2 linked regions of the Oryzias latipes genome follow. The protein of the gene in region 1 binds, or shares a complex with, the protein of each later gene. Links are inferred from orthologs where the notes say so. Each region holds a gene or a part of one and is shown on either strand. Other genes may lie near its edges. The genes, in order: cftr and gopc.

Evidence for each region.
Region 2: the proteins of cftr (region 1) and gopc are in contact, whole or in part, in an NMR structure (PDB 2LOB), measured with the Homo sapiens proteins. The link is inferred for Oryzias latipes from reciprocal best matches to the Homo sapiens genes CFTR and GOPC. Residues at the interface, in NP_000483.3 of Homo sapiens: Val1475, Gln1476, Asp1477, Thr1478, Arg1479, Leu1480; in NP_065132.1 of Homo sapiens: Gly298, Leu299, Gly300, Ile301, Ser302, Ile303, Thr304, Gly305, Glu308, His309, Glu317, His319, Thr347, Lys348, His349, Lys350, Glu351, Val353, Leu356.

Annotation. Positions count from the first base shown.
Region 1 is NC_019864.2:3,330,741-3,346,440, reverse strand, and holds part of cftr (cystic fibrosis transmembrane conductance regulator), read right to left. Parts: intron 10,268-15,700; coding exon 10,173-10,267; intron 9,545-10,172; coding exon 9,458-9,544; intron 9,201-9,457; coding exon 8,435-9,200; intron 8,336-8,434; coding exon 8,207-8,335; intron 8,124-8,206; coding exon 8,086-8,123; intron 7,824-8,085; coding exon 7,537-7,823; intron 7,424-7,536; coding exon 7,344-7,423; intron 5,609-7,343; coding exon 5,458-5,608; intron 1-5,457. UniProt on the Homo sapiens protein: Epithelial ion channel that plays an important role in the regulation of epithelial ion and water transport and fluid homeostasis. Mediates the transport of chloride ions across the cell membrane.
Region 2 is NC_019882.2:11,932,825-11,949,258, forward strand, and holds the start of gopc (Golgi-associated PDZ and coiled-coil motif-containing protein), read left to right. Parts: upstream 1-8,196; 5' UTR 8,197-8,384; coding exon 8,385-8,645; intron 8,646-10,777; coding exon 10,778-10,942; intron 10,943-11,848; coding exon 11,849-11,872; intron 11,873-13,008; coding exon 13,009-13,184; intron 13,185-13,310; coding exon 13,311-13,476; intron 13,477-13,552; coding exon 13,553-13,648; intron 13,649-13,931; coding exon 13,932-14,096; intron 14,097-14,173; coding exon 14,174-14,348; intron 14,349-15,862; coding exon 15,863-15,981; 3' UTR 15,982-16,434.

The sequences.
Region 1 (15,700 bases):
GAAGCGGAAGAGCAAACACCCTCAAATGAGAAGAGGAGTCGGGACATTCAGGAAATTGACTGAAGCGGACTGGACTCCAGCTTGTGATGAGGCTTTTGAGAAGCTAAAGAGTGCTCTCTTGAACTGTGCTGTGATGGCCCACCCAGATTTCAACAGGCCCTTTATTCTCTCTGTTGATGCATCCTTAGACGGCCTTGGTGCAGTTTTATCTCAGCTCCCTGTTGGTGAAGATAAAGCCCGTCCAGTTGCATTTGCTAGTAAAACCTTAAGCAAATCGCAACAACGATACCCTGCTCACAGACTCGAGTTCATGGCCCTGAAGTGGAGCATCACAGAGAAATTCAGTCACTGGCTTAAGGGGCACAAATTCACAGTATGGACCGATAACAATCCTTTGGTCCACGTGCTCACCAAACCAAAGTTGGATGCTTACGAACAACGGTGGGTGGCGAAGCTTTCAGCCTACGACTTTGACCTGAAATACATCCCAGGTCCTAAAAATGTTGTGGCTGATGCTTTAAGCCGTGAACCTTTTGCCTCACCCGTCAGTGACAGACTCTTGAAGGAACCATACAGCAGATTGATCCAGGAAGCTGATGGGGCTGAGGTTAACATGGTGCAAGATGCTTTCAGACTCGGTCTCCAACATAACCAGGAAGTTCAGCTCTTGCACACCACCATCGTTCCCACCCCAAACTCAGTTCATTCTCCGGAGGTTAAGGCAGTTTTCCAGCACCATGATCACTGGCAAAGAGGTGCAGAAACTCAAGCTGTTTGTCTCCTTCAACATGTGCAATCACTGCAGCACACCGATCCTGAGCCTCTGCCGTCTTTCACCTTGAGTGAAATGGAGGACAGTCAACGACGGGATGTCACAGTCTCAAAGCTGCTGCCATTTCTCATCCGCAAAGTGCGCCCCTCGAGACGTGAAAGGTCTGGATTTAATCCCAGCCAACTAACTCTGTTGAAATCCTGGGAGAGACTCGTGGTCAGAGATGGACTTCTGTATAGGGAAACTAAAGATCCAGCAACCAAGATGAAGAGGCTCCAGTTTGTCCTACCCACTGATCTCAGGAAGAAGGCCTTGGAAGGTGTCCATGATTTAGCTGGTCATCAGGGCCAGGCTAGGACTCTCCATCTTTCTAGGCAGCGGTTCTTTTGGCCATATATGGAACGAGACGTCTCTGAATATGTCCGGTGTTGCCCACGTTGTGTTCTTGCCAAGACTCCAGAACCAGCCGCGCGTGCTCCGCTAGAGAGCATAAGGACCACTGCTCCAATGGAGTTAGTCTGTATTGACTTTTGGTCAGCGGAGGACAAGAACAAGCGTTCTGTGGAAGTGTTAGTTGTAACCGATCACTTCACGAAGATGGCCCATGCTTTTCCTTGTCGCAACCAGTCAGCGAAACAAGTTGCCAAAAAGCTCTGGGATAATGTGTTTTGCATTTATGGCTTCCCTGAGCGCATCCATTCTGACCAGGGGGCCAATTTTGAAAGCGAACTGTTGTCTGAACTCCTGCGTCTGTCAGGTGTGGCTAAGTCTCACACCACTGCCTACCACCCTATGGGCAACGGAGGAACAGAGCGTTTCAACCGCACATTAGGCAACATGATCAGAGCACTCCCTTTAAGAACAAAGCAGGAGTGGGCTCAGCAAATCCAGACATTGACGTTTGCTTATAATGCCACTGTCCATGAGACTACAGGGTTTGCCCCTTTTTATCTAATGTTTGGTCGTGTTCCCCGTCTTCCTGTTGATATAGTGTTCCGGTCAGTTCTTCATGACTCTGATGTGACTGATTTCACCACCTATTCAGCCACACTTCTCACAAACCTTGTAGAGGCTGCAAAAGTGGCACAGCAGCACGCCGTGCATCAGCAAAAACATCAGGCAAAGGGGTACAACAAAAAAATCAAGGGTGTTGCCCTCCAGATTGGCGACAGAGTGCTCCTAGCCAATAGAGGTGAACGTGGCAAGAAGAAACTGGCTGACAAATGGGAACCTACAGTCTACACTGTTGTGGCCTGTCAACCACAAATTCATGTCTACAAAATACAGGATTCGAACGGACGCTGCAAAGTTGTCCACAGGAATCTGCTGCTTGATGTAAGCTTCCTTCCTGTTGTTGAGTCACAACATCTTGGTGTTGGAGCAACTTCGGAGGGGTGTGACACAGAAAGCGTGGATCTGAGTGACCTGAATAGCCTCCTACATGATTCTCCGGAAGAGCGGACCGCTACTTGGGTTTCGTCTGGGTGTGACAACAGCATCATCGGTGGTTCAGTGAAAACTAGTCTGGGATCAGATGCGTCTGGTTCCCACAGTGTTTTGGGGGACCTTGAAGAGGATGTTACCCCTGATCTCCCACCAGTCGTTGCCGGTGCTGACGGTGACTCACCAAGAGCTGATGTGACCAGTCCTCTGACTGACACTAGTCCCTTACTTGACTCAGGACACGAAGAATCCAACAGTGACTATAGATCTGTACCACCAGTGAGTTCAGCCCATGTTCCAGGGTACTTTGTTTCTAGAACGGGTCGCGTAGTTAAACCTGTGACCAGATTTATAGAAGTCATGATGCAGGAACCTGTGTGGGTGTGACTTACAGTTTAGTTGGGTCTTTTTCTTTTCATCTGCTGTTGATGTTTGTGTATTATGACATTTGGTTATTAATTTATTTTGACCAGTGTAATTAGGGATGTAGGCTGCATCTCTGTATTCTAAAAGGGTTAACAGACTTGATCAACCTGTTTACTTCTTTTAATCTGTTAAATCAGATAGTTTCTCTAAACTGATTCAAGAATTTGATTCTTGCGAAATTGGTCTCTGTTTCTTTGCACGAACCTGGTTCTCTGCCGATGTGTTGTGAATATTTGGTGGAATTCTAGGAGGGGTGAATGTAACGAGTGTTAAGTTTATTAGTGTAATTCCACCAAATCCATGGTAAACTGCCGTTTTCATACATTTGCACCAGAGTATTTCATCTGTCTGAGGGTACTTGAACTCACCACGAGCACGCTAGCAGGTGCTAATGAACATGCGCACTTAGACTGCTGGGAGCCGTGGCTGAGGTAAGACGTGAATCGCCGAGTGTCCACCCTTATTAGTTTTATTTCTTTGTAAATTGTTCATTAGTGTGTTACACTCATAACTCACAAAGTTGGGAATCGTGTGGTGTCAATTTTACGTAATTTGTGTTGTTTTATTTATTTTTGGCTGCTCTATATCAGCAGATCTGCACTGCTTCGCGTGAACTAGTTGAGGTTCGCGCCATTTTTCTTTGATGTTTAAATTAACTTTTCCTTCTTTCTTTTTTGTTCATTTTTCAATTGTTTAAGGGGGAAAAAAATCACACAGAAGAAACTCCAGACAGCATTCTGAATTTGTATTTTCTGTTAACCAGGTACGGTGCAGTTTTCTCTTTTTATCGTGTTCTTTTTGTATTACTTTACATGCTGTGGGGGGAGGTGCTAATAAGCATGAGCACTGAGACTGCTGGGAGCCGTGGCTGAGGGGGAAAAAAATCACACAGAAGAAACTCCAGACAGCATTCTGAATTTGTATTTTCTGTTAACCAGGTACAGATTAAAAGAGTTTGACTCGGCATCCAAGTGTGGTCTCTCATTCGCCTGAACACAACGCAGAGCGGAAAACTCCACCAGTTACACTCTCATCATGGCATCACTTTCACTCAACCCTCTTCGTCATTTCACCACGTCTGAACGATGGATTTGATTGTTCTCAAAGTGGGTCTTTAACAGCAGCACTGATGCTCATTTTTCCGTCAAGGATCCCTGAAAAAGCAACTGACTCTACTGAAAGTAGAGGAGGCTAAAGTTCAAGACTTTAGCAGTGAAATACAAACAACAACCAGCTGGACCTCAGGGGCTTTTTTTCGGCGCCTGCTCGCAGCTAATGGTCAGCCAGAAAATGTCTGACGTCACCCATTGGATTCTCCCTGGCAAAAACAAACCCTGAAGTGGGATGGGCAGTTTGCTCTGCCCACTTCTGGAACATTCCAAAAATAGTGGGACAAAGTAGCGTTTTCAGCTCTTTTTGTCCACCAGGATCCACACACCTGCCAATCAAAAAGGCATGCGTTTTTTCGGAACTGTACCCTCTCCTATTCTTTAATCATTCTCCAGCTTCTTGAGCTCCGTTTTTCCCTTTTTTGGACCCCTGTCCTCCATCTCTAACATCCATCACTCTCTGTCTCTTCTATCTTCCATCCAGTCCAAAAGAAATGTTGTGTATGTGTGCCCAAGACAATCACTCCCACACACACTAAGACATGAACAGCTAGAGCCGCTTTAGAGCAGGGGTGGGCAAACCATGGCCCGGGGGCAACATGCGGCCCGTTAAACTGTTTAATCTGGCCCACCAAACTGGAATAAAACATTGATTATGCTTATTAATGTTTTATTTTCTCTGTGATGATGGTGTACCCCCATAGATGGTGCTCTACAAATATATTGACGACAAATACGTGTTTTAGGTGCAGAAATACATTCTGTATTCATGTGGTGTTGGAAGAGTTTTTCTAATGTTTATGTATGTTTTTCAAGTGGGGCAGTCATGTTTCCAATCATTCCAAAAGCACACGAACGCAGCATTTCTCAAAGTTCGTGTTTTTAATGAAGAACATCATTGGTGCAATTGGTGGGAAAATGAAAAAAAAAACAGTTTTAAAATAATAGCTCTAAAATGTTCTGTTTAATGTGTATCTAAAAAATTTTAATCAAAATTGATTCCTATTTTTGTCCAGACTCCATGAAATTTTTCATGGTGGATTATCAAAACACGACACAGATCTGCTCCTGATCCAGCCTTTCTGACAAATTTAAAAAGCCTTTGTGGCCCACGAGTCAAAATGGTTGCCCACCCCTACTCTAGAGTAACCAGTTAACCTATGAAGAAGGTTTTTGGACTGTGGGAGGAAACTGGAGTCCCAGGAGAAAATCCACGCTTGCACAGAGATAACGTGCAAACTCCACACAAACCAGGGCTTTCACTCTGTGAGGTGAGAGTGCTAACCTCTGCACCAGAGTGTGGCCCTGCTTGACCCAAATAATACCACATTTGAGCAGTAAAATGATTGACTAGTTAAAAATAAAAGCATCCGACTGTATATGATATTTTTGGAGTATAAGTCACAATGTTTTGCATTGTTTGACTGGTGATGTGGCGATAAGATTTTTTCTTCTTTATTATGTATTTTAGGCTGCTGCGACTTATACTGCGGAAAAGATGGTATATGTTTCTTAATAAACCCCACTTCCAACATGGGAGTCAGTAGGAATTTTCTCCCTTCTGACACCAGCAATCTGTTGAGGAACTGGATTATTTGACACTTGTTTTGTGTTAATTTTGGAGACAGAAGACGGGGGGTTGGTACTGACACATCATCAGCAGCAGCAGTTTAGAGACACTTTTTAAGACAAAGGACCTTTATTTACCTTCAGCCTCCAGCTGTTTGAGCTGCTGTCCTGTTCGTAGATAGTACTTCCTCAGGACAACAAATATGACAGCCAGGGGAATGGCAGCTATGAAGATGTAAGGTCGCATGATGGACACGGTGAAGATGCATCCGATGACCAGTAGTGTTAACTAAGGTGAGAGAAAGAGTGTGATAGGAGAGCATAAGTTACAATTCAAAACCACATATACGACAAAATAAAAGATGACCAAATAAATGTGGTTCAAACAAAGTACTTGTTCCATCAGAAAGCATAATTTAGTCCACTCTGCACTAGACATCATGTGGCTGTCAGTACCCAGCAATGAGACACAAAAATAGTTTCTTTGCATTTGCATTTTATGGATAGAATAAAAGAATACATAGGCATCCAAAAAATGAAGGAAGGAATGTTATTTAGGTTGTTGTAGGCTATTATAGAAGCTACCCTCTTGGACAGTTTTAAAGAAACTGTTCCTCCACTTACGTGCCTCATTATCTGCCTAGGTGACCTTTTATTATGCTTTTAACTCTTGTTTAATTGTTTTGATCCTTTTCTTTGTTTTATCGTCATATTATTTGTTGATGTAACTTTATGTACAGCACTTTGGGCCTCCTTGAACGGTGGTGGAAGGTGTTGAATGAAGAAAAATGCTTGCAGGTTTTTCACTTACCCCCTTTTTCAAAGATGCTTACAAGACCTACAGTACCTGCAAGTTCAAATCAACTCCCCAATCTGTATTTGAATTGAAATGGAATCAAATGAAATAAATGGTGTGCACTTGTAAAGTTCTATTCTACCTTGCTCAAAGGCCCAAAGTACTTTTCAGTTACAGTCCCATTCACACACACTGATGGCGGCTCAACTACTGAACACTGGCGCCAACGTGTAACCACCACCAGGAGCATTGTGGGGCTCAGTGTCTTGCCCAAGGAAATTTTGATTCATGGGCGGGAGCCAAACCTGCAATCCTCCAATCAGGGGTTGACTACTCTGTTCACAAGTCACAGAGCTAGTCTAGATCATTGACTCTCTATGAGAAAGAGACTGAGTGACTGCTCCCCCTTGTTGCTCCAAGCAGGAAGTACCTGCTGGTTCTTAGAAGCCAAAATCCCATTGACTTCTATAGAGAAATAAACAGCTGTTATTTAGTCAATCTGCTGGTCAGAATAATAATTTTGGCCCTGCTACATTTTTTACTATGTTCTTGATGATTCTTATTTTCTCCATGATACTTTTTCTTTGTTACAAGTTTTTTAAGTTATAAACTGAGAAATCAGGAGCCTCAATAAAAACAGCTGGTCTCACATTCAACATTTAAAACGTTTGATTGGCAGATTTTGTGAAGCCCGCTTTCAAGAGGTAGGGGTGTGAACTTCTGTAAAGCTCACTCCTTATTGGTGAGAGTGGTTGCCATAGAAACAATGACTTAGTCTGATTTGGACCAATCACTGTTTACTGATGGTGTCTGGTTCCAGCATGTCGACATCAGTATTTTAAAAAAAGAAAAAAATGACTTCATTTGGTTGGAGACGGAAGTAAATCCTTTTCTATGGGTGACGTCCCACTCACTCAGTCCAGTTCTCATGTACAGTCAATGGTTTGGAGTCAAGTCTCAAGTTCCAGCCTTTAAGAATGAAATGCAATTAAAGACCAAGGGTCATGTTCAAGTCCCCATCCTGCATCCGCCATATTTCTGAACAAAATAAGAGCATTTTGACTGCAGATGAATTTAACTGCACTGGATAGTTTTAAGAAACAAAGAACAAGCAAGAGGTGACTGCACCAACCAGCACCAAAACCCTTTTTTTGATCTTCATTTGAACCTACAAAGATAGGATTTTGCCTGCATTGAAATTTTTGGTTACATTTTTATTGTACAATACCTGTATGAGGTCAAACAGCATAGGAGGCAGCATGTCTTCAATAATGGCCATGTCCTTGGTAAATCTGTTCATTATGCGAGCTAAAACACACAGACATATCCAAGTTAGCCTTACACCCCACTTCAGTGAGAATGGAAGTCAGTGTGGTTACTCAAAAGTGGTAAATATGACATCAAAACAAAGAAAAGGGCACCTGTTTTAATGGAATTGAGCACGGACATGGGGGCGCGCAGCACAGCGCTCAGCATCTGCTCATGAAGTCGTTCGGAAACGGTGAGCAGTGAGTGCACCAAAGGAAGGCCCCTGAAGACTCCGAGGGCCAGTATGCTGTCTGAATGGGCCACAAAGATGTAAATAATGTAATAGGCGCTGGTCGGAGTCACAATAACTGCCAGATGGACCGGGGGGGACGAGGAATTGATGGGCTGATCATCGATGTAGTTGGGTGAGTTTGGGTTGGCACCATCTCTCCAGACTTTACTGATAAAACAGAGCAGAAGACAGAAAGTCACGCTATGCTTCAACGGAAAAATGATCACATTTTGTCTTAAGGTTCAAAACATCCACTTAATTCTAGAAACCTACCATTGATAAGGTTCATAATTAAACATAATGTGAAAAGGAAAACATTTCCAAAAAACTCCAACAAACACTCCAAAACAAATATCTCAGACTCTGAAAACTAGATTTCTGTTTGACAATGAAGAGTTTTATTTCAGTTTTGAGGAACACTGACACTCACTCTGTTATGAGAAAAATACCAATGACTGAACCAGCAACCTATCAGTGGAGACAAGGACAGAGATGTTCATATTATGCTCACAACTTTAAAAGCATGGACTTGAAAAGGGTTTGAATCTTACCTCAATGGCAAAAACAATAGCAATGAAAATAAGGACATATATCAGGGTTTTGTTGGTGGAAACATAGCGGAGGTAAGTGCTCCACGAGGTAGTCACAAAGACATTCTCACGCTCATCTGCAAAGCATTGCTGTGGAAAACAGAAGAGACACTTGTACCCAGATGTTGACTGAAGAACATTTGTTTGCATTTGATAACACATGAAAAAAAGCCTGTGTATTGGGCACACCTCCATGTCTTCTTCCTCCACCTCTTCTGTGATCTCAAAAACGCTGTCCTTGGACAGGCGCCGTGCATAGATGTCCAGCTCTGTTGCCAGGTCGTACTGTGGTGTGACAGACAGCTTTTTTCTGAACGATGACTGCATCCTCTCTCTGCGGTCTTGGCCCTGAGCGTTAGTAATGAAAGCCAGGACGGACTGGCGCCGCTGTCCACCGAGGTGCTGCAGCCCGTGGTGGTACAGGTTACTCCTTGGAAGTGCTTCCTCCACTTGATCATCCTCCGGCACCACAGAGAATCTTCTGTCGGAAAGTTCATTGCCACCCTCCTCCATGAGTGACGGCTGGAGTGTGCCTGTCTGCTGGGAGTTCCCTATAAAGGAGATTTTGCGAGCAGCTGCAATGGGGTTAAGGATGAGAGACTGTTTGCGTTTTTCAGGGTATCCATCAACCCCGTTGTGACCCTGAGGTGGCGCGTGCTGGAACGACTGGCGAAGTGCTTCCGGGCCTCGGAAGCCAGCGGTTTCGTCAACCGAGACCCTGCGAAGAGTTTCTGTGAGAATGGAAGAGCGTCGCTCCGCGACAATGTTGTCATAAGCTTCAAGACCAAGCAGGAGGGAGCTGAAGTCGGGGCGTTGTGCCTGCAGCTCTGAAAATGTACCATAAAAGTAACACTCTCCGTTGTGCAGCATGAGGATTTTGTCTGAACGCTTGAGGTGCTCTAGCTTGCTGGTGACCACAACACGGGTCTTGGAGCCCATCAGCTTACAGACACATCTGTGGAAAGAGGATGAGGCATGCTCAAATGGATCTTTAGCAAAATATACAAACGGTTTCTGTTGAAAAGCACATATTGGAATGCAGAATAAGGTGTCTCATGACACCAGACATCATTTCATCAGAGTGTAATTCTTACAGACCGACTGCTCACCACAGCTAATAAACATGAAACAACAAGAGAAAACCTTAACCTTGAACTTTAGCATCCCTCCCACCCCACTGCTGCTTGAAAGAGTTTCTGTCGGCATACGTACTTATCAAAGACCTCTTTCTCTGTTGCAATGTCCAGGTGGGTGAAAGGAGCATCCAGCAGGTAAAGGGCTGCATCTTTATACACACTCCTGGAAGACAGAGTGCCAATGCAGCCAGTCAGAGAAGAACACAAAGGAAAAACATTAAAAATAAGAGTTGAAGTAAAGAGAAAACAATGAGCACAGCTGTTCCTAAACATGAAGCAAAGGAAAGGTGAGGAAATACAGTAAATCATTCCAGCTGACCCTTTCCAGTGAGGGTAGAAACAATCAGAGGCCACAAATCACTGCTACAACATAACACTAATAAATCGTTCACAGGAAAATGAGAACATGTCTGATGATTTGTTTCTGCATAAACAGTAAAACATTTTAAGGAGTTTTTTCACACACAATCAAAACAGAAAGCAAACCATCCTCTGTGAAGGGACAGACTATTTTGATAACAGCGAAAAATTCCTTTTTCCCTCTGGATTTCCACTGATAATCAAAGCAGCTGGATTATAAATGTACCTTTGTAATTTAAAATGATTAAAAATTAATATTCCTAAAATATTAAATAAACTTTTAGTAATTCCCAAACCGTTTGAATCCTTCACATGTTACTTTAAAATAATGTTATTGGACTTTTTAACTTTTTTTTTTACTTCATTCGTGCCCACATTTGGTGAAAACAAAGGTCTGTGCCCAGACTGATGCACAGCTGTGCAGTCAGTACCTGGCCAAGCAGATGCGTGCCCTCTGACCGCCGCTGAGCGTCGATCCTCCTTCACCAAGAGCTGTCTTGTCTTTTTCAGGCAGTGACGCAAAGTCCTTAAGAGAGAAAAACACGTTTATCAGCATGATTCCCCCGTAAAAGTAAAAAGGGGAATTTATTGAAACCGAATTTTGAAATTTGCTAGAGATCAAACTAAGAAAGTAAAGCATTGAAAAGCCTTTGCTTGTATGTCCAAAGAGGCTCAATCCTGACTTGAGTTTAAATGGATCAACAACAATAAAGTTTCTCAAAGGAGAAAGAAAAAAAAACTATAAATGAGAATGAAACACAAACAAATACAGCATTTGATAGTTCCTTATCACAGAAACAAGAATACTCTGCTCTGGAGTGTGTTGCAAAGATTTTAGCACCAGCCCCTCCCAACCCACGAAAATGAGCGGGTCCTCACATTGTGACGTCACAAAGGAAGAACAGCCCCTTCCAGGAAGAGTCTGTGCTGCCAGCCCCGCCCCCTGGCTAACACACACACTCACGTTCTCCACTGAGCTAGCGATGATCGGCTAAATGCTTTCATTTGATGTGCACAACATGGACATCAATCTTTGCAAAACTTTAGATGTTGCTTGTTTTTGTGGGTGAAACGCAGAAGACGACTCTAGATTGACGTCATTAAATGGGCGGCACCCACATGGAGCGGACGGCAGTGACTCTAAGAATGAGCTGTGTTACTTCAGAAAATGAGCTGTGAAAATAACCAATAATTTCATTTACAAAAATAGTTCCTAAGTGTGCCAAAGGTAATATATTATCACATATATGGATCTAGCCACAGGGGTTGCAATCTAGCCACAGGGGTTGCAAGCCAGTAACTTCTGTGCCGGTCCCAAGCCCGGATAAATAGAGAGGGTTGCGTCAGGAAGGGCATCCGGCGTAAAAATTGCCAAAATAACCATGCGAATCATCCACGAGAAAGATTTAGACATACCGGATCGGTCGAGGCCCGGGTTAACAACGACCGCCACCGATGCTGTTAACCTACAGGGTGTCGGTGGAAATTTGACTACTGTTGGTGGAAGAAAGAGGGGAGGCAGAAGGGTCCGTGGCCAGAGAGAGAAGGGAAAAGGCAGGAACATAGGTTTGAGAATAGGGACTCTTAACGTTGGCACAATGACAGGGAAAGGCAGAGAGCTGGCAGACATGATGGAGAGAAGGAAGGTAGATGTACTGTGTGTGCAGGAGACAAGGTGGAAGGGCAGCAAGGCACGTAGTATTGGAGGAGGATACAAACTGTTCTATCATGGTGTTGATAGGAAGAGAAACGGGGTAGGAGTGATTCTGAAGGGGGAGTTTGTAAACAGTGTTCTAGAGGTGAAAAGAGTCTCAGACAGGATGATGAGCCTAAAGTTAGAAATTGAAGGGGTGATGGTGAATGTAGTCAGTGGGTATGCGCCACAGGTTGGCTGTGAATTAGAAGTGAAGGAGAGATTCTGGAGTGAGTTGGATGAGGTCATAGAGAGTATCCCCAGAGGAGAGAGAGTTGTTATTGGAGCAGACTTTAATGGGCATGTTGGTGAGGGCAACAGAGGTGATGAGGAGGTGATGGGCAGGTTTGGTGTGAAGGAAAGGAATCTGGAGGGACAGATGGTGGTGGACTTTGCGAAGAGGATGGAAATGGCTGTAGTCAACACTTACTTCCAGAAGAGAGAGGAACATAGAGTGACATACAGAAGTGGAGGTAGGAGTACTCAGGTGGACTACATCCTATGTAGACGAGGTCATTTGAGAGAGGTTAATGACTGCAAAGTGGTGGTAGGAGAGAGTGTAGCCAGACAGCACCGCATGGTGGTGTGTAAGATGACTCTGGAGGTCAGGAAGAAGAAGAGAGGGAAAACAGAAAAGAAGACCAAGTGGTGGAAGCTACAGAATGAAGAAACTTGTGAGGAATTTAGGCAGAAGTTGAGACAGGCTCTGGGTGGTCAGGATGAGCTTCCAGATGACTGGGAAACTACAGCAGAGATTATCAGGGAAACAGGTAGGAAGGTGCTAGGTGTGTCATCTGGAAAGAGGAAAGACGGTAAAGAGACTTGGTGGTGGAATGAGGAAGTACAGGAATGCGTCCAGAGGAAGAGGTTGGCTAAAAGGAAGTGGGATGTAGAAAGGACTGAGGAAGGTAGACAGGAGTACAAGGAAGCGCAGCGTAGAGTGAAGAGAGAGGTGGCAAAGGCCAAACAGAAAGCTTACGATGAGCTATATGACAGGTTAGACACAAAGGAAGGAGATAAGGACTTGTTCAGGCTAGCCAGACAGAAAGACAGAGATGGGAAGGACGTGCAACAGATAAGGGTGATTAAGGACAGAGATGGAAAGGTGTTAACAACCCAGGAGAGTGTACAGAAAAGATGGAAGGAGTATTTTGAGGAGCTGATGAACGAGGAAAATGACAGGGAAAGAAGGGAGGAAGATGTGGTTGTTGTGGAGCAGGAAGTAGCAGAGATTGGAAAGGATGAGGTTAGGAAGGCTCTGAAAAGGATGAAGAGCGGAAAGGCCGTTGGTCCTGATGACGTACCTGTGGAGGTATGGAAGTGCCTAGGAGAGACAGCAGTGGAATTTCTAACAAGGTTGTTCAATAGGATTCTAGAGAGTGAGAAGATGCCTGAGGAATGGAGGAGAAGCGTTCTGGTCCCGATCTTTAAGAACAAGGGTGACACGCAGAACTGCAGCAACTATAGAGGAATAAAGTTGATGAGCCACACAATGAAGCTGTGGGAAAGAGTAGTGGAAGCCAGGCTTAGGAAGAAGGTGGAGATTTGTGAGCAGCAGTATGGTTTCATGCCCCGTAAGAGCACCACTGATGCCATTTTTGCTTTGAGAATGTTGATGGAAAAGTACAGAGAAGGTCAGAAGGAGCTGCATTGTGTGTTCGTAGATTTAGAGAAGGCGTATGACAGGGTGCCGAGGGAGGAGCTGTGGTACTGTATGAGGTCGTCTGGAGTGGCAGAGAAGTATGTCAGAGTAGTTCAGGACATGTATGAGAGAAGTATGACGGTGGTGAGATGTGCTGTAGGTCAGACAGAGGAGTTCAAGGTGGAGGTGGGACTACACCAAGGATCAGCTTTGAGTCCTTTTTTGTTTGCTATGCTGATGGACAGGCTGACAGACGAGGTAAGACAGGAATCTCCCTGGACAATGATGTTTGCGGATGACATTGTAATTTGCAGTGAGAGTAGAGAGCAGGTGGAGGAACAGCTAGAGAGGTGGAGGTTTGCTCTGGAAAGAAGAGGCATGAAGGTCAGTCGTAGTAAGACAGAATACATGTGTCTGAACGAGAGGGATCAAGGTAGAAGTGTTAGGTTACAGGGGACTGAGGTGAAGAAGGTGCAGGAGTTTAAGTACTTGGGGTCAACAGTTCAGTGTGATGGGGATTGTGGAAAAGAGGTGAAGAGGCGAGTGCAGGCAGGTTGGAGCGGTTGGAGGAAAGTGTCAGGAGTGTTGTGTGACAGAAGAGTGCCAGCAAGACTCAAAGGAAAGGTGTACAAGACAGTGGTGAGACCAGCTCTGCTCTATGGGTTAGAGACGGTAGCAGTGAGACAGAGACAAGAGGCTGAGATGGAGGTAGCGGAGATGAAGATGTTGAGGTTCTCCTTAGGAGTGACCAGGTTAGACAGGATAAGGAACGAGTACATCAGAGGGACGGCTCATGTTGCCTGTGTTAGCGACAAAGTCAGAGAAGCCAGACTGAGATGGTTTGGACATGTTCAGAGGAGGGATAGTGGATATATTGGTAGAAGGATGTTGGAGATGGAGCTGCCTGGCAGGAGGGCAAGAGGACGGCCAAAGAGGAGATACATGGATGTCTTAACAGAGGACATGAAGTTGGCTAACGTTAGGGTAGAAGATGTTCATGATAGGGTGAGGTGGAAAAGGATGATTCGCTGTGGCGACCCCTGATGGGAAAAGCCGAAAGAGAAAGAAGAAGATATATGGATATAGTTTACTCTAAAAAAATCCTTAAAAGTAGCATAAGATAGGCCCTTTAAATGTAAAGCACCTCTAGCTGCGCAATACATAAGAAGCACGATTTATAAATAAAGTTTGGTTTGAATTGAAGATAGATATTCTGGGAACAATCGTCTTTGTCCTCATTTGTCATTTGGTCACATGAGTTTAAGGTTACTTCCTTTCAGGAGATGTTAAAATAAATGTTTAGCTTGGTACATTAAATTTAAAATTCTTCTATTTAATGTGTTTGCCACTTACATTAATCTTTAAACAAATTGTAATTATGATCATTTGAAAGGATTTGAGTCAAATTATTGACTGTAAATGGGAATCAGACGGAGTAAGTGGCTCCTATGAAATTAAGTCAATTCAGTCGCCATTCATACACCGCCACCATGTTGGAGCCAGTAGGCAGTGATTGGTCCGAATTGGTCTGAGTCAATGTTTCTATGGCAACCACTAACTGCGAATCAGAAGTGAGCTTATTGAAAGGCCACACCCCTACTACTTGAAAGCGAGTTTAGGAGAATCTGTCAATCAAACGTTTAGAACTGAGACCACATACTTTTTGAGGCAACTGATTGGTCAGTTTATAATTTTAATAACTTGTGCTGCATAAAAATTATCATGAAAAAAATAGGATTATCAAGAACATGTTAAGAAATGTATCAGAGTAAGAAGGGTTGTTCTGACCAATAGAATGACCAAGTAACAGCTGTTTATTTTTCTATAGACTTCTATGGGATTTTGGCTTCTTCCTGTTTGGAACGCCAGGGGGGAGGAGTCACTCAGTCCATTTCTCATATACAGTCAATGGGTTGAACTGGATTTGACCATGTTTTAACATCTACTTTGAAAAGTTCCAAACCCTCTTGGGCATGATTCGGTTTCTTTAGCATTGTCCTCGTTTGTTGCTTTGAGACAACATCAATGTAAAAAAGGATTTAAGGTTTAAATAAAACCTTTGGGTTATTGACTTTAACACTAACCCTGATAAACACCAAAAAGGGAAATAACACATTTAATCATCTGCTAAATGTGCAGTCCTTCTAAAATGTTTTTCTAATTAGAAAACTATCATTTTGGGCAATAGACTGATTTTTTCTAAAAAAATAAATAAATAAAAAATATCACAGAAACCCAAAGGTAATTTAACCCAAAAGGCAAAGTGTGACATGTGATAACAAAAAAAATTGACACTGGTCTGAATAGAAAAAAGCACCAAACAAAAAACACACGACGGACACTGCAAGAAGACAAAAACAAGGACACATCATGTCATAAGAAGAGGTGATCGTAGTCCACACAGAGACTGTGCTGAGGAACATCAAGAGGAAAACTTCCTACCTTTTCATCTGCAGCTCCTGCTGCTCCAAATGGAGTGCAAACGGAAACAAGTTAACAGCTAAGTGTCAAAAGCAGGAGGCAGAATGAAATCAGCAAAAAACACAACGCTCATCACCAAAGGGATGTTTTAACACAAAACTTCTTTAACTTCTTTAAGTCACAGATGGAACAAGATTCTCTCA
Region 2 (16,434 bases), on another chromosome or scaffold:
ACTCAAAGATCAGAAACATTTTCTACCAAAACATAAAAACAATTTCTCCCCAAATATTGTTCACAAATGAGTCTTTCTGTGATAGTGAGCATTTCTTTGCTAACATAATCCATCCCACCTCACAGGCGTGCCATATCAAGATTCTGATTGGACATTGTGATTATTCCACAGGTGTGCCTTTGACAGGCCACAAGAAAAGGCCACAATGAAACTTGCCCTTTTGTTACGTTGGGGTCTGGGGACACCAGATAACTGGTCTGTATCTTGTGTGGCCACAATTTGCCTTGTGCACATCGGCTTTCCTCCAGCTCCATGGGCCCTGTGACATGCTGGCCACATGTCCAGGGAGTACACCGCCTTTACCCATGGCCCCACAAGGGATTAGCAGGTCCAGAAAATGGGCAGAGTTCAGGACGAGAATGGTCATCCATGTTGGATCGTACTGTGTTTTGTTTTTTTTAGAAAGTTGTGCAAAAAGTTACAAAAACACAGATGCGACGCGTAACCTGATAGATCTTTGCAGAGCAGCCAGAGAACCATGAAGAAAACAGAGGCAAGACCTTTGGCAACAGGAAGCTTCTTATGAAAAACTGATAAGAAAATGACGAAAGTTAAAAGAAAAATAAAGCTTTCCTTAAATATGCGGAAGAAGATTCTTATTCATTTTCATGATGTCTTAAAGTCTTCTCTTCTTACAACATTTCACCACTCAGACCGTCCTCAAAGAAAACAATTTTGTTTCTATTCTAAATGTGACTAAAATAGAAGCAAGGTCTTCATCGCTATCAATTTTGTCTTTAAAATTTCAGTAAACTTTAGCTTCGAAACCTCTTATCGATGTGTCGGTGGAGCCATGAAATCTTTTCAGTTTGATTATGACTAAACAGGAAATCACAGATGAGCTGAACGTTTCTAACAGATCAGTGTCTAAAAAAGACTGAATGACTCGAATACTGGAATTATTTCCCCTTTTTTTGTTTCACACGGAAGATAAAGATCCAATTTTCTAGTCTATTTATTTTCCTTAACTAAAGTACTGTCAAAAATGGTTACAGATGACTCTAAATAACATTGATCGGTTTTATTTTTGGCACATAATGTTTCTCCAACATTCAACAATCTAGTCATATTTTATGGATATAAAGTTGTAACATGTACTGCAGATCATTTTTACTTTATCCTGACTGTTAGGAACAATCTGAGCATAGTTTCAATGACGTCCCTTAAGGTATCAGTGCAATTTTCCAGTGACCTGCAAGACACACCTGTGCTCCCCTTAAGATGCTGCTGCCTCTCTCTACGGGCCTACACAACCCAAAAACCTGCAGCATTCGTCAACACCCCATTGAGGGGAAGGGACTAAGACTAAGTCAGTCTTTTCAATGCAGGGTCTCTGTCCAACATAAACACTTTATCTTTAGGCACCTTTTCTCAGGCCCTGTTCTAAAGTCATTCTCCTCCATTCTCAAAAACATAGCTGTACTTGCCTTTCCTCTACATTTGACAATAGTGCTTCCCGTGAAGAGTTCAGTGTCAGGTCCATTCTGAGATTATTAACTTTGTCCAGCCTTTGATTCATCTTTTACCCCTGCTCAATGGGCAAAAGCCTCCAGGGCTTTAGATCTGAGTCCATAAGTATCTTTAATGATGAAACTCGACATTGTGAAGTTACTGCTACCATGAAGAACTAAATGATGGCTCAAAAGTAAATTTGACTAACAGAATTGACCAATGCATGTCATATTTCTTTTTTTTTTTTATAAATGTTGTTTTTCAATGTTACTCACATTCATTCAGCTTCATTTTTTAGGCTTTACAGTTTATGTCTTTCTATCCATGGCTTGCAATTTTATTTTCAGCCAAGTACAACCAGCTCATATTTTTGTTCTCAACATGCTACTATTAATAAAAACCCCAAATATAATTATTTGTCATAGAATCTCCCCAGAGCAACACAGTCATCATCATTGGAGCTGTGGTCGGTGTGGTTTTGGTGCTGCTGGTCGTCGTTACCGTTTTTCTCTTCAGAAGCAGGACAGCCAAAGCCACAAAGGATCAGAAAAAAGGAACAAGTACAGTATTTTTTCTTAACCCACAATGAATGTGATGAGGTTCTGATGAAGAAATCAGAACACTCCAAATGTAGCTGACTTACAAAGAAATGTTGGCACCATTTAACAACAGCGTATGAAGTTCCTTTTTACTTCTGAAACCAGTCATTGTGAAGTGTGATTTTTCGTAATATTTTTTATCCATTAAATCAAATCTTTTCTGCTGTTTAATTTCGTAGCCCCGTGACCCCAAAAGGGACAAAAACTGATTTAGAAAGCGAATAAACGAAAATTTTCCTATAGTTATGACTCAAAACATTTTTTCTTAAAACTGACAACGAAGCTTTACAGAACAGAAAATCATTTCTGTGGATGTCAGCTGGTTCCTAAAATCTACCTTTTTTTATTTCAGACTTTCAAAAGCCGACACATCAAAATGTAAGTATCATTACACAAAAGTTTACTAGTATAAGTAATGAAGGTATTTCTTTAATAATAAAAAAATATTCTTATCGTGTACTTTAGATAATGTCAAGTTACTTTTATTCCAGATTGTTAAAAGACATCCTGGGGCAATTCAACTTTATTTTAGCATACTCATGACAGTAGTCATGTTTATTCCTATTTTATGATTATTAAGAAAATCAAACATAATCTGCATATAATTTACTCATCATGCATTCATCAAACTACAGTGTTTCATTGATGTCTGCTTTAAAAACATGTATTCCCCTCTGTGTTTGTGTTCAGTCTGAGCTGCAGAGTGAGCCAGAGAGTGACCTGACATATGCTGCGGTTAACTATTCCAAATCCAAGGCTTCCTCTAAGATTACAGTAAGTCACTTTGGTTGCTGTGATCCTGGTCTCCGTACAAGTGTTGGGTTGGTTAACATGACTGAGTACAGAGAAGCAGTAATCTTCTAAAAGTTTTTTAAAGCGAGTTTTCGATTCAGTTCCCAAAAAAGCAGTACTCTAAACAAAAAATTGTTTAACAGGTAGTTTAAAAATGTCATATTTTATATTATTATATTATATTAATATTATATTAAGTTCAATACATTTTTTTACACATTAAAGGTACATTTTACACATAATCTTTACACATTTATATTAAAGTAGTATATTTTAACCACAATTTTGTGGTGGTTTCAATTACAATAAATTAAATGGCATAACATTTTCTATTTCAGAAAATGATAATATTGTGATAAATTTAATGTTCGAATTTTTTTTGTCTCCATCTCTCAACAGTTTTTAGAACAACAGTGTTGGATGAGAACTATTTTTTTTTGTGTTCCAGATAAATGCGGAAGAAGTTCAGGTGATCTATTCGTCCATTAAAATAGAGTGAAAAGAAGCAGACAGTGATGTCTGACGACTCCACAGCTGCGTCCTTTCAGCAGTGACTTCTGTCCAGCTGATGATGATGATGAGGACAGCACATTGGTGCACAGTTTCTTTTTAATGTGTTAATATGCAAAACGAGACATACTGTAGTACAAATAGTTTATCTTATAAAGCATTTTCTTTTTTTCCCTTCTTCTCGCAGCTTTTTGTTTTTGTCATGTTATATCGCTTTTCTAATATTAAAGCATTCAAAGGTAAATGAGATTCTGACAAAAAGCAATAAAGATGTTAAATTGTATAACAATAAAGTCATAAAGTGTCTTTTATAAAGCATGTTTCCAACGTCAATCTAACATAAATCTCGTTAATCTTGTTCTTTTAGATTAAACCAAGTGAATTTACAAGTTAATATGTATTTAACAAAGCAAACCACCAAAAGAGATAAAACAAACTGCATCCACTGCTGCCTGGAACAATGCTGCTACCCAAGAACACATTTCTTCTCAGCTTTTACAATTTATTGTTTTATTTTTATTTTTTTTGCTTGGGCTGCAGCCAAAAAATAGAAATAAAAGACTAAAAATAAAAATGTGGACATTAAAAAAGTAAAAAAAAATGAAAAAAGAAAAAGAAAAAACTTGGGTTTAGGCGGGAACTTGTTTGATTAATTTCAAGCATTAATTGAAGTCAATAAATCATACAGATTTATCATTACAGAAATGATGGAATGCATAGATAAACATACAAAAAAACAAAGGCACACTTAAATATAGTAATCAGTAACTAAAGTCAAGTAGAACTTGAAATATTGTTTCAAAAGGTAAGAAGTTCAGAGCACTGTCTAGTGGGTCTAGATGACCCAACTCCCAATGTTAAAGTGCCTAGGATAGCACAAGGGATAATCCCACCCCTACTGAGTTCATTCATTTTTTAGTTTTTTTTTAGTTTTCATACTCCGGTTCTGATCAGATAGATTCTTTTCAAGTAATAAAATCAGGTGATTATTGAAAATTAATTAGCTTCAGTAAACATTTATTCATGAATACAGTAAAAAGTAACGTGAATCACATACTATGTAACAGACAAGTGGAACTCTTTGATTACAATCAGAATACAATTTAATTAAATCCAGAAATCATTGCTACACATTGCAGCTCAAGTAACAAAACCGAGCGCTTATTGAATATCCTCAGAAAGAATTCTTACATCTTTTCAGTAAACATTAATGAATAACACTTTAGGTAACTGATATGTAATAATCATTGATTATAGAACACATGATCACATTAAACCAGTGATCATTGCTGCACATTGCAGATCAAGTCAAGATGTTTAAAAACTAATTAGTTGTAATTAAAACATTTCACTTTTAGGAATAGTTTTTCTTTATCACAAATTTGCAAGCATATTTGGTGAATTGCCTCTGAGCTCGTGCATCCCCACCTATAAAATCCAAAATGACGTAACCGAGTGTGGTAACCCGCAGATGGCGAGAGAACCAAGGTCAAGTCTGCATATTAAAACCGCTCGCTACAGACCAGTGATGTGCAGTTATTTGTGGCTAACGGAGTCTTTCAGAGTCAGATTTACAAGCAAATGAGCCCAAATATATTTACCAACTACTGATTCAAATCTCATCAGAATCTTTTTACAAACATTGCAGAAACATATTGGACCGAATATGATTGTAAAATGTACATATATAGAGTGATACATAAAACAACTAAGTTAGCGAAGCAATTATTCCATTTTAGCTTATATGTTCTCTTTTTCATAACAGTGGAGGATGACTTTAATTCGCCCGTAGGAGGTGGTAGGAACAGAGAATTGCAAAAAGGCATTATTCATTAAATAACAATGCTATAACTATCAGGATGGAAACTTTATACAACTCCTAAAGTGCATAGATTCAATTTTTGTGTGCGTGTGTACTGATGTGACAACGGAAATATACAGATTTTAATCAGCTTATTTATATTGTTATGCTTCCTAATATCTCGGGTAAATTCCTTTTCTTTTAAATTTGCTTTTAATGAAAAATGTAGACTTTAACAATAAAAATGAAAAATTACAGTTAAAATCAAACACTGTGGATCAATCAAGAAGATGTGACAGGCAAAAGCCCTTAAGAGTCAAACCAGTGATGGATGGTCGTACATTTGAAGGTTCCTACTTACTAAGAAAGTTGTTTGAACTTGTTTTTTTTTTCTTTTTCCTGCCAATATTCTGTGTTCTTCAAAATGTCAGACAGGTGAAACTCTAAAAATCCAATTAGCTATGAAACTGTTGTGATTCAGACATGAAGAACAGTTCAAGTCAGAATACTCACTGCTCAAACAGTACATTTGTGAATCATGCTTATTTGTGGATCCGAGACGACATGTAACCCAGCATCCTCAGCAGTGATGTTCCTGATGAGCAGGGAGCCGTCTCTGCTCACACTCAGCCTGGAAGCTGCTGCTGAACACTGTTCAACTTCTCTGGTAGTTAACAGAAGCTGTTTGGTTCTCTATAGTACAGCCACTCCACATTGTAGTACCAATATCTGGATAATCTACTCTGACAAGGTATCTCCATCTGTTCCATTGAGGTACTCCTCTTTTCCAACGATGCCTGCAGAGAAAAGATGAACACTTTTTACAATCATCAGCAGGTTCTCCACTAACTTTCTTGAACTTGACAGCAATCAAACTGGGTGTCTCGATGTTAGTTCAAATCCATAATGTCCAAACCAAAATGTTATTGCCCTCCATCGACTCTCACTCTCTTTCCTCCTCCCGTCTTGAGTGTACTCTGTCCTTTCCGTCTCCTCTAACCTCCTTTTCACGTTCTCTAACCTCCTATACCACTGCTGTTCTTGTCTACAGTCTTGTTATCTCTTGTTGACATTATAAAAACTTGCTTTTCCCTGGTCTCACTCACAAACATCTCCTTTGAGCCTCCGTTCACAATTCAGCAGCTCATACCATCTCTACAACCACTTCCATTTATTACGTTGGTTCTCCAGCAGTTCCACAGGTCCCAGATCAATTTAAATTCAAAATCATTTTATTTATTTGTTTTCTACTTTTCCGGTCCAGCATCTTAGCAAACAGCTGAGACCTGAGGGCCTCTTGTGTTGGACAGATATTACTTATACATTTGGGAAAGGTGTTGCTTTGGACACAAGGAGTAAATTTACATAAACGCCTTCTGTATTTAATAAAGAAAATGTGTGGAATTTGTTTCTTTTTGGCCGCTCTCTTTGATCATCTTCCTTTGCGCTTGCCACACCATCAAATGCTCAATTCCCCTCGGACCTCAGGAATATCCGTTCTCTATTTCTTTTCACATCCTCACTCAGGACTACCGGTAATTTTCTGCTTTCATTCCACAAACGTAACAACAGTGTCATATTTTTGCTCTTGCTTAATGTGATTTTGTTATTCATTGTTTTCTAAATGGTGTATAGAATTCATGAGCGAAAAATGTAGTATTAGTTTTATATTGTAAAACTTTGAATCTAAAATATCCAAAACACATTCAAATTAGATCCAACAAGATTTTTTGTTTTGTTTTGTTTTTTTAAATTGAAAATTTCATAGTTTTTGGATCTTTAAAAAAAAAATCTGCTAAACGTAAGGTTAAATATTAAAACAGATATTTCTTTAGAGGAAACATACCATTTTCTTTTTTTATTTTAAAATTAAAGCAACACAGTTAAAGTATAATTGAGTTTTTCTCTAAATTATTTTGAGCAACTTTGATCACAGTTTGAAAATAATAAAAACAAAATATATCCTCATCTACAAACCGAAGTATGAAAATAATTATCATGCCCAAAAGGAGAAACATTGTGTGTCTCTCAGTTTTTGAACTGCTGAAAGTGTCACTTTATGCTTGTATTTCCTCATCTGTGATGATTTAGAGTATTCCATTACTCCTTCCAGAAATGTAGGTTTCATCATTTTTTGCACATGACTTTTAGTAAGGGTCACTATTAAAGTTTTCACCAAATGAAGTTTATTTTCAACTTCAACTAAAAAAAAGTGCATGCAAGTATAAATGATAAAAGTAGTTCTTAAATAGAATAATGAAACATTTATAATTTTAATTCAAAATGCCATGACACGTTTATTTAGACATTTAAAGTTGTATTTATTTATTCAACTTGTCACATTTGGTCCTCCATATCTTCAGTTTGTTTCCAGTCTTCGTTGAAGTTGTCTGCAATGACTTCTAAAGTCCGGCAGATGTCGCTATTATGTCACACAGCAATGAGTTTCTACCATCCAACACACTGTTTACACCGTTTAGGAAATGTGCAACTCACAATGACGCTTTATTTGCCCATCACTATTGTGAGAACACGATTACGACCAGGTTAACATAATTTCCAGGATTGAAAAACATTTATAGGAAATAGTTTGACCCCTAAACATAACATAACATTATTTATTTATTTTTGCTTTTTTAATTCATTTAATTTTCACATGAAGGTAGACCTTGTGCAATCCAGGTGATTGAGTATCGTAAAGATAGCTTTAATTTTAAAACGTGTCAAATATATAATAATTATTATTTATAAATTAACTAATTTGTAATATTATTATTATTATTATTATTATTATTATTATTATTATTATTATTATTATTATTATTATTATCATCCAGATTCTGACTCAATTATTTATTTATTTATTTATTTCCCTATTTTCTAAAGGCGAACAGGATTTGGATATGCAGGTGACGTCACTACAAAACAAAAAAAATGCCGCAAGAGTTTGCGCAGGAAAACTAATGGAGCGCCCATCCGTCCGTTCAGACCGTAATAATCGCTACGCCGAAAGCTCGATATCCTGATGACGGACTTCCGGGTACCGCAGAGTTTTCTCCGTGGTCAACCCTCCGTTCCTGTCTTCGGTCTGGGTCTCTCTTCTTAACTGCTTCCGCGGACCGCCGGAGATCTTTTCTGCCTCAGTTTGCTCAGCCCCTTCTTCCTCGGACATGTCATCCTCCGCTGGGTGCTCCCCGTCGGGCCAGAGCTCGGGCCTCGGCCCTGCTCTGTCTATGTTCCGGTGGCTGGAAGTGCTGGAGAAGGAATTTGACAAGGCCTTTGTAGACGTGGACCTCCTGTTGGGGGAGATAGACCCGGACCAGGTGGACATTACCTACGAGGGTCGGCAGAAGATGACCAGCCTGAGCTCCTGCTTCGCCCAGCTCTGCCACAAATCCCAAACGGTCTTCCAGCTCAACCATAAACTGGAGGTGAGTGTGAAGGGACTCCAGCCAGGGATTACTGAACGTGATAGCTGTCGTCATGTTTTTGTTTGCGTGTCTTTCCCAGATAAACGTGGAAAAGTCAGCATTTTCTCTAACAAGATTAGCTACTGATCTGTCTAGCTTTTAATTCACAACAGACATTACCATTGCGGTAAAAATAGGCGACCTATAAAAATAAAAGCTGGGGTTTTATTCCATTATTTTATGACAGGATTAATAAAAGTGGGGCCAAAACATTTTTCACAGACATAGGGAGCCGAACTGTTTTTTTTTTGTTTGTTTTGCCTTTGTTTTGTTGTTTTATTGTTACTGGTCCTATCACTCCAACGTAACAAAAGAGTTATCTATTATGTCGAACACAGGAAAATCTGGTTGATTTGGGGGAAAGAAAATCTGTCACCAGTTTTTCCAAATGATTCTTTTTGGACCAAAGCATCTGGATGAAGATCTCCTCTCTTCATCATATCTCCTCCCAGCACCTTCTGACAAACTTTAGGCCCCCTTAATTCTCACCAGAAAATGTTAGCTAATGGTTGTAAATCCACACAGAAACCACTGGCTATGGTTGCCATAGGCAACCACATGGTTACAGTTGTTTTCCATGCAAGAACAGGATGACATGGTCAGAGGATGATATGCGATTGCTGTTGGATGCGAATGAATCTGGTTGGTCGTCTTATTTCCTGGCTTCTTTTTTACCTCCTGCGCTGCTCAGATGAACTTGAACCCTCCCTGCATCCAGATGTGCCAAATGCATCTTCTTATTCCCTTGAAAAGTTTTTTTCTTTATGTAGTGAGGAAAGTAATTCCAGAGGGAGTTAAAAAGTGTTCTCAAATGCGTGTAAAAAGAGTTTATAACATGTTGAAAAGCTGCTAAACATTCAATTTCAGCCACAGCAAGAGGTCAGATAGGAATATTTTGAGGCTTGGAATATCCAAAAAGTCTTGTTTTGTTTCATTCTGGCATCCAACATATACTCTTCACCAGCACCGGTACCGGTCCGTGAGTCATTTGGTACCGGGCCACAGAGAAAAAAAATAATAATTTACATGACTTCTGTTTTATTTATTTAGGAATCTGAAAGATGTTTTATTTTGAAAAATTGCCTGATTCTCTGTGACATCCGTCTATGTTACTCTTGATGCAGGCCAAGACGCTCCTCTCCGTCACGTGACAGATTACAGCTAAAATAAAACCCAGGAGCTAGCAAAAAGAGTAAAAAACAAACGTCTTTGGAAAGTTTCTTTGCCAAAGGGAAAACGCCCAGCCAGGAGACAGACATTTAATAGACAGTGCTTCTTTTTTGCACCATGAGTGTGGGAGGGGGAGAAGATGATGACACCTGTGAGGTGTACAGTGTCATGAGTGAGTGTCAAAATAAAAGCTTAGGGTTCGTCTTGCCACATCTCTGTTGGTCGTTTATCGTAGTATAGCGACAATAATCATTCACCTTTAATTACATGACCGGTCCGTGGAACCTCTGTGTGACGTCATACTGGTCCGTGGCGTTGAAATGGTTGGGGACCACTGCTCTACACAACTACAACTGTCTGTCTACGAAAGGAAACGTTTGTAATAGACTGTGGTGTAATAAATGCCAATGTCTCTGACCGCATAAAAACATGGAAATCAATTCCTAATTTGCAATGCAAAGTGTTGATATTTAAACTCTGGAAACTCAAAATTTTTGATGCTCTGCTGCATGAAACAGAATTCCTCTAGATGCTCAAATCGCATAAAAAGCTAAAAGAAAAAACAACAAATTTTGCTTTGTAATTTACCAAAACGTTTTTGTTTTACACATGTATCAATAATTATGAACGAAGCAAAAAACATTCCTATATATTCAGAAGGATTTTTCTTCAGAATTTCTGATCTGCATCGTCGATGCAGGAGCTTTGTCTACGGTTACTTGTCTGAGCTGGTCCGGAACCCCTTAAGCAACTGTGGTGCTGTCCGTTTGAGTCTTGCTACGACATACAGTTCCTCTCGTCATTCAACCTGCCAGGTGGAGTACAGTCCCTAAATCAAGGATCTGTTACAGGATTATCTAAAGGTCGGTCCTGGTCTGACTTGTCTGCATTTATGTTGAAAAACACTCTTCGCTTGTCTCCAGGCTCAGCTGGTCGACCTGCGCTCCGAGCTGACGGAGGCGAAGGCTGAGCGGGTGGTGGCGGAGAGGGAGGTCCATGAACTGCTGCTGCAGTTGCACGCTCTCCAGCTGCAGCTTCGGGCCCAGCAAGGCCAGACAGAGGACTCAGACACCATCAAGGACAGACTGGTAGGTTGGATGGTCAGACGGTCATCGATTGATCCATCAAGTAACATCAAATGAAATCCATTAGGTTCAATTCTAATGGTAAAGTTCTGTATGATCCGAACAGAATAGATCTAACAGTTATCGGCCGTTTGGAGCTAGCAGTCATGGGTAACCTTATCAACGTTAGCCTTCAGCCGTCCACCTGGTGTTTTCAGACATCTTTATTAAAGACATCTCTGGTTAGACAGGATAAAGAAATATAAATTAGTCAGAATGCGACTACAAAACTAAAACAGCATTGTGCTTTTAGCTCCACTGCTCTGCACTAATGTCCTCAATGAATCTCAGAAAGAGGAGTTTTTATGGAGCTTCTTACATCATAAATGTCTCCAGAAGAATGCTCCACTGGGACAAACAGTGACAGACACAGATCTGGGTTTCAGAGGCTTCAATGGGGCGGGAGAATCCTCCACTCACTGTAAGCTCAGCAGGCCACAGTGGTGGAAAATTCACTTTTATCTGCAGATCTCTGATGACGCTGAAGAGACTCAGCGAAACTAAAGAAGATAAGAAAAGGTAGAAATACATCCAAACCGCATGAAATGACCTCCAGCAGCCATACCAAAGATTTCTCCTCACTGCTAAAGAATACATTTTTCCATTTCTTTCATTTAGAATATATGGGATTTAAACAAATAGAATGTTTATTTTAACTCCTTTGTTTACTGTTGCAACTGATGGTTTGGTCTTTTACTGTTTCCATCTACAGTTTTCTGCTCCCTTTCAGCACCATCCTGAAGCCCTGATATGCACTTTGATTCTTTGTCATTTTTGCCTTTCCTGTGCACACATTAACACCAATCAAAGATGAGTTTCTCTAACCCACATTTTCTTCTGTCTGTCCTTTCTCCTCTTCTGTCCTTAAAGCCTGCACCAACTCTGGAGGTGATGGTAAGTTCTCCTCTCCGCTTTGGTGTAGCTGTAGATTTGACACCATGGGATCTGTTGCTTCCCTCATTGAGCTGATATTTACTTCCTGCTGCTTTGTCGACTCTGCTTCAGTGGCTTGTTGGGTGGAAACGCCACTCCCTCCCCTCCCCTCACTGGCTACAGTCATTACTTGGCCAGTCACCATCTTGGAAATGGAAATATGAGCTCATCAGTCAGTGTCAACGTTGACTTTTTCCATGAGAATGTTTTCTGAGATGGCACTTTATGGTTACGCCAAATCTAATAACTGCAAACAATCCTAATGAAAAATTTCGTTTTGTGCAATGATTTGGTCTAAATCCTAAAGAAACTTGTATATCTAGATGAGAGAAAATATCTATTGTTTTTTTATGAAGCTCTACGGCTCAAAACAGAATTAGGAACTTTATGGTACTATTTTCCGTCAAAATGTGCCTCACACCAAACAAACATGGAGGAAGTCAGTAGCAAATGCGCTCCAGACTAGAAAATTGTTCCGTCGCATGAATGTAGTTTGTATAGAAGAAGACCGACGTGGATCAGACAGCATTTGTTTGTAAAGTTTGTAAGGTGTTGTGTCAAAAAGAAAGCACTTCCTGGTGAGGAACGCTGTCAGACGGGGTGCAGGGGGGTTTTCTCTTTTGGCAAAACACCTGTTGACCGGTCCTAACAACAAACACACAACTAATGGAGTTTGTCGTCTCTACAGGAACCATAACCAAGAATGCAGAGAGAATCAACAAGCAAAAGCTATAAAAGCAGCGTCTAGTGACTGCAGAAGTCACACAAAAGTCCAGACGCTGCATTCAGGCACAGCTAGGAATTGGCCTATGCTAAATAGTAAATATGTTTAGCAGTAGATGTTAACATGATTAACACTTGGAAAAAGGTTCTAAGTGAAAGAAGTATTTAGTTTCTATGACCATTGTTCAGTTAGTCGTGTCACACTGCCTTTCCACGTTGCAATGTTACTGATATCTTAATCAGGATATAAACCTAGCTATGTCATGATATATAACATTTTGATCATTTGGAGCATAATCGTCCTAAAACCTATAGTTTGTTGTGTCGCCAGTTTGCAAAAGCTCAAACGTGATTAGTTGTGCTTTTTTTTCCAGGAACAGGAACTTATGGCTGGTAAGAAGGAGAAGTTAGCTGAGGCCAGACTGGAGAAAGAAGTGCATCTGTTTAGGAAGGAAAACGAGGCCCTCCGCAGGCACATAGCAGTACTGCAAGCTGAGGTGTACGGAGCCAGATTGGCTGCCAAATATCTGGACAAGGAGCTGGCTGGAAGGTGAGAAGCTGGAGGGAGCAGCGGGTTTAAAGATAAGACCTGGTGATGAATCTTTTTCATTGAGTAAACGAGACTTAGGTTGTCTAAGGGTTGTCTTCCCTAAGAGGCTGGCACTGTGACTTTCAGGGTGCAGCAGATTCAGTTACTCGGTCGGGACATGAAGGGACCCGCCCATGACAAGCTGTGGAACCAGCTGGAGGCCGAGATTCACCTCCACCGCCACAAAACTGTAATCCGGGCATGCCGAGGTCGCATCGACCCAAAGAAACCTCTACCCTCTCCTGTGGGACACGTGAGTGGAGATCTCAAACATCTAAATGCCGTTCATGTTTTCATGGTTTCGCTAAAAGCTATCGGTGCAATTCCAGGAACATGACTTGCTGAAGAAAACGCAGGGAGTCGGTCCTATCAGGAAGGTGGCGCTGGTCAAAGAGGACCATGAAGGCTTGGGGATTTCTATCACGGTAAATACACGATTGACCTCTTTTGTGAAAAATAAAGCAACTATCTGACACATAGTAGACCCATAGAAGGCATTGGTTTGAACCAGGCACTTTGTATCTGGGAAATGTAACCTTAAGGAAGCACCAATTACCAGCCATGTTTTAGATTCTTTCTTAGACTTTTCAGGAAGTGAATTTGTCACTTTGGTCTTAAGTAACCCTCTGCAATAGTAATGGAACAAATGTGTTAAACTTCTTAGATCCTGTTTTGGCTTTAGATCCTTTAACTTGGATTTCCTTTTAGGGCGGGAAGGAGCACGGCGTTCCCATCCTGATTTCTGAGATCCATCCCGGTCAACCTGCAGACCGTTGTAGAGGCCTGCACGTCGGAGATGCCATCCTCGCGGTCAACAGCATCAATTTAAGGGATGCGAAGCACAAGGAGGCAGTCACCATCTTGTCACAGCAGGTAAGGTGTGGCTGCAGTCCCCGCTGTGGCCACAGGGAGCGCTCTCTGACCTACTCATTGTGGCGATTGTGTTTTAGAGAGGCCAGATAGAGTTTGAGGTGGTGTACGTGGCGCCGGAGGTGGACAGCGATGACGAGAACGTGGAGTATGAGGACGACAGCGGACATCGATACCGCCTCTATCTGGATGAATTGGAGGACAGCAGCAGCGGCGGCGGGGCTCCACCCAACAACAACGCCGCCTCACTTCAGGGTGAGATGAACTAAAGACAAATTGACACAATTGTCCAGATTAGAGAAACACGTTTCACCAAACTCAGACTATCTGTCGGATTTGAAAAGTATAAAAAGGTTTTGAATTGGATTTTTTAGGACTTTGACTTGATCTCGTTTGATTTAACACCAGAACTTTAGTTCCAGTGTTGACACTCTTTCGGCTATTGTAACCTTTTACGCCTCTAACGTAGTAATTCCCTCTGATTCTGCTACTTTACTTTGGTGATGTGTTGCATATGGGTGCTAACCCAATAGGAAAAGCTGCTTTTTTCCAAGAGTCAAAGACTTACGGTACATCAGAGAGTACCTTATTTAGGTGTTACTGGTGACATTTCTGGTGTTAAAGGGTTGAATTCAGTCATAAGAGGTTGACTTTGATTGTTTAAAATGTTAAATATTTGAGTTGCACTAATGCACTATTGCACTAATTTTAAAGAGTTTTTTTCCTTATCGGTTTGTGCTAGGGCTGCACGATATGAGGAAAACTTGCGATATGCGATATTAGTGATCAATATTGCGATAACGATAAATTTGCGGTAAATAAACAAATAGTAAAATAAACAAAAACATCATTCCCATTTCATTGCAACAGTTTAAAAATTATACTCCAAATGACCCTCATCGACATGGGGTCAAACGTCAGGGTGGCTAACCCTGGTCCTCAAGAGCCTCAACCCTGTCTGTTTTCCAATTCTCCCTAGACTGCTCGATAATGATAACCAAAATCAGGTGTGTTCAGTCAATCAGGATGTGAAATCACTTGAGTCAGCCAATCAACAGCAAGCTGGTTAAGGAGAGCTGGAAAACAGGCAGGGTTGAGGCTCTTCAGGACCAGGGTTAACATAATAGGCCTCCATCTGATTGGTCAACAATGGGAAGGCGTCCATCTGATTGGTCAAAGCATAAAGGGATTTATTTGATTCGTTAAATGCTTCAAGCTGCTAGAAGATTGTTTTAACACATTTTGGGTTTGCGATTTATTGCGATATTCGCCGTCTTTTACGATATGCATATTGCAGAGCTGGATATTGCGATAACGATAAATTTGCGGTATATTGTGCAGGCCTAGTTTGTGCCCAGTTTATTTTAGTCTGTTTAGTTTAGCAATCATGTTTTGTATTTTATAACTGATTTTATGTTTTGTATAATATCAAATATTATTAAAGTATAAAATATTCATTGACGATGCATCTTATGAGTCCGCGAATGTTAATGGTAAATTGGTAAAATTACCTTTGAGAGCCCAAAATTCCCTTGACATGTTTTGGGGCCTAGAGTAGAAAGTAGTCGCAGTGCCAACATCAATTATAGAGCCCAGCATGCTTTGCTGCACAGTGAAACGCTGAAAGTGATCTTTTTAGTAAAAAAGCTTAATTCTGGTGGTTTTAGAATGGAGACCGAGTTCGTCAGCAATGTTAAGACATGACCTTTTTGTGCGGGATGTGAGCAACAGATATTCATGAATGTTTCCCCCTCCTTCCCTCCCCCCAGCTCTGGAGAACATGACCCTAAACAGCGGAGCAGAGAACGGAAACCCAGGAAGCTGCTGCGAATCCCGTCCAGACGAAGAAGGAGCTCCAAAGCCCCCCGAGAGCGACGCCTCCTCGTAGGAGATCAGTGGAATGAACTGAACGGAGTCGGTGACAATCCGAGGGAACGAACTGATCAGTATCTTGCTGCGGGGGGGTGGGGGTGAAGCGGCCATTTTAAGACTCCCACTGAAATTTAGAGGTGTGTCTCTGGGTGGGGGCTGAATTTCTATTACTGTTTATAATCAGGGGCAGCAGTGTTGAGGGGACTAAAGACTGACAGGGGCACATGAAGACACTGCAACCATGGAGGGGGGCCTTTTGCTGTACAGTATGCACATGGAAACATCTCACACTCTCAGAGAATAACCTCAACAGATCCTCAGTCTGATAAATTGACAAACCCCTTCCAAAATACAGGCTCCCATTGCTCACCCATGGACATCAGCTGGTACCCCACCCCTTGGATCCCGAATGAGGATGCCCATGAATCAATGGCCCGTCACTCACCTCACTCTTCTTTCGGTCACGTCT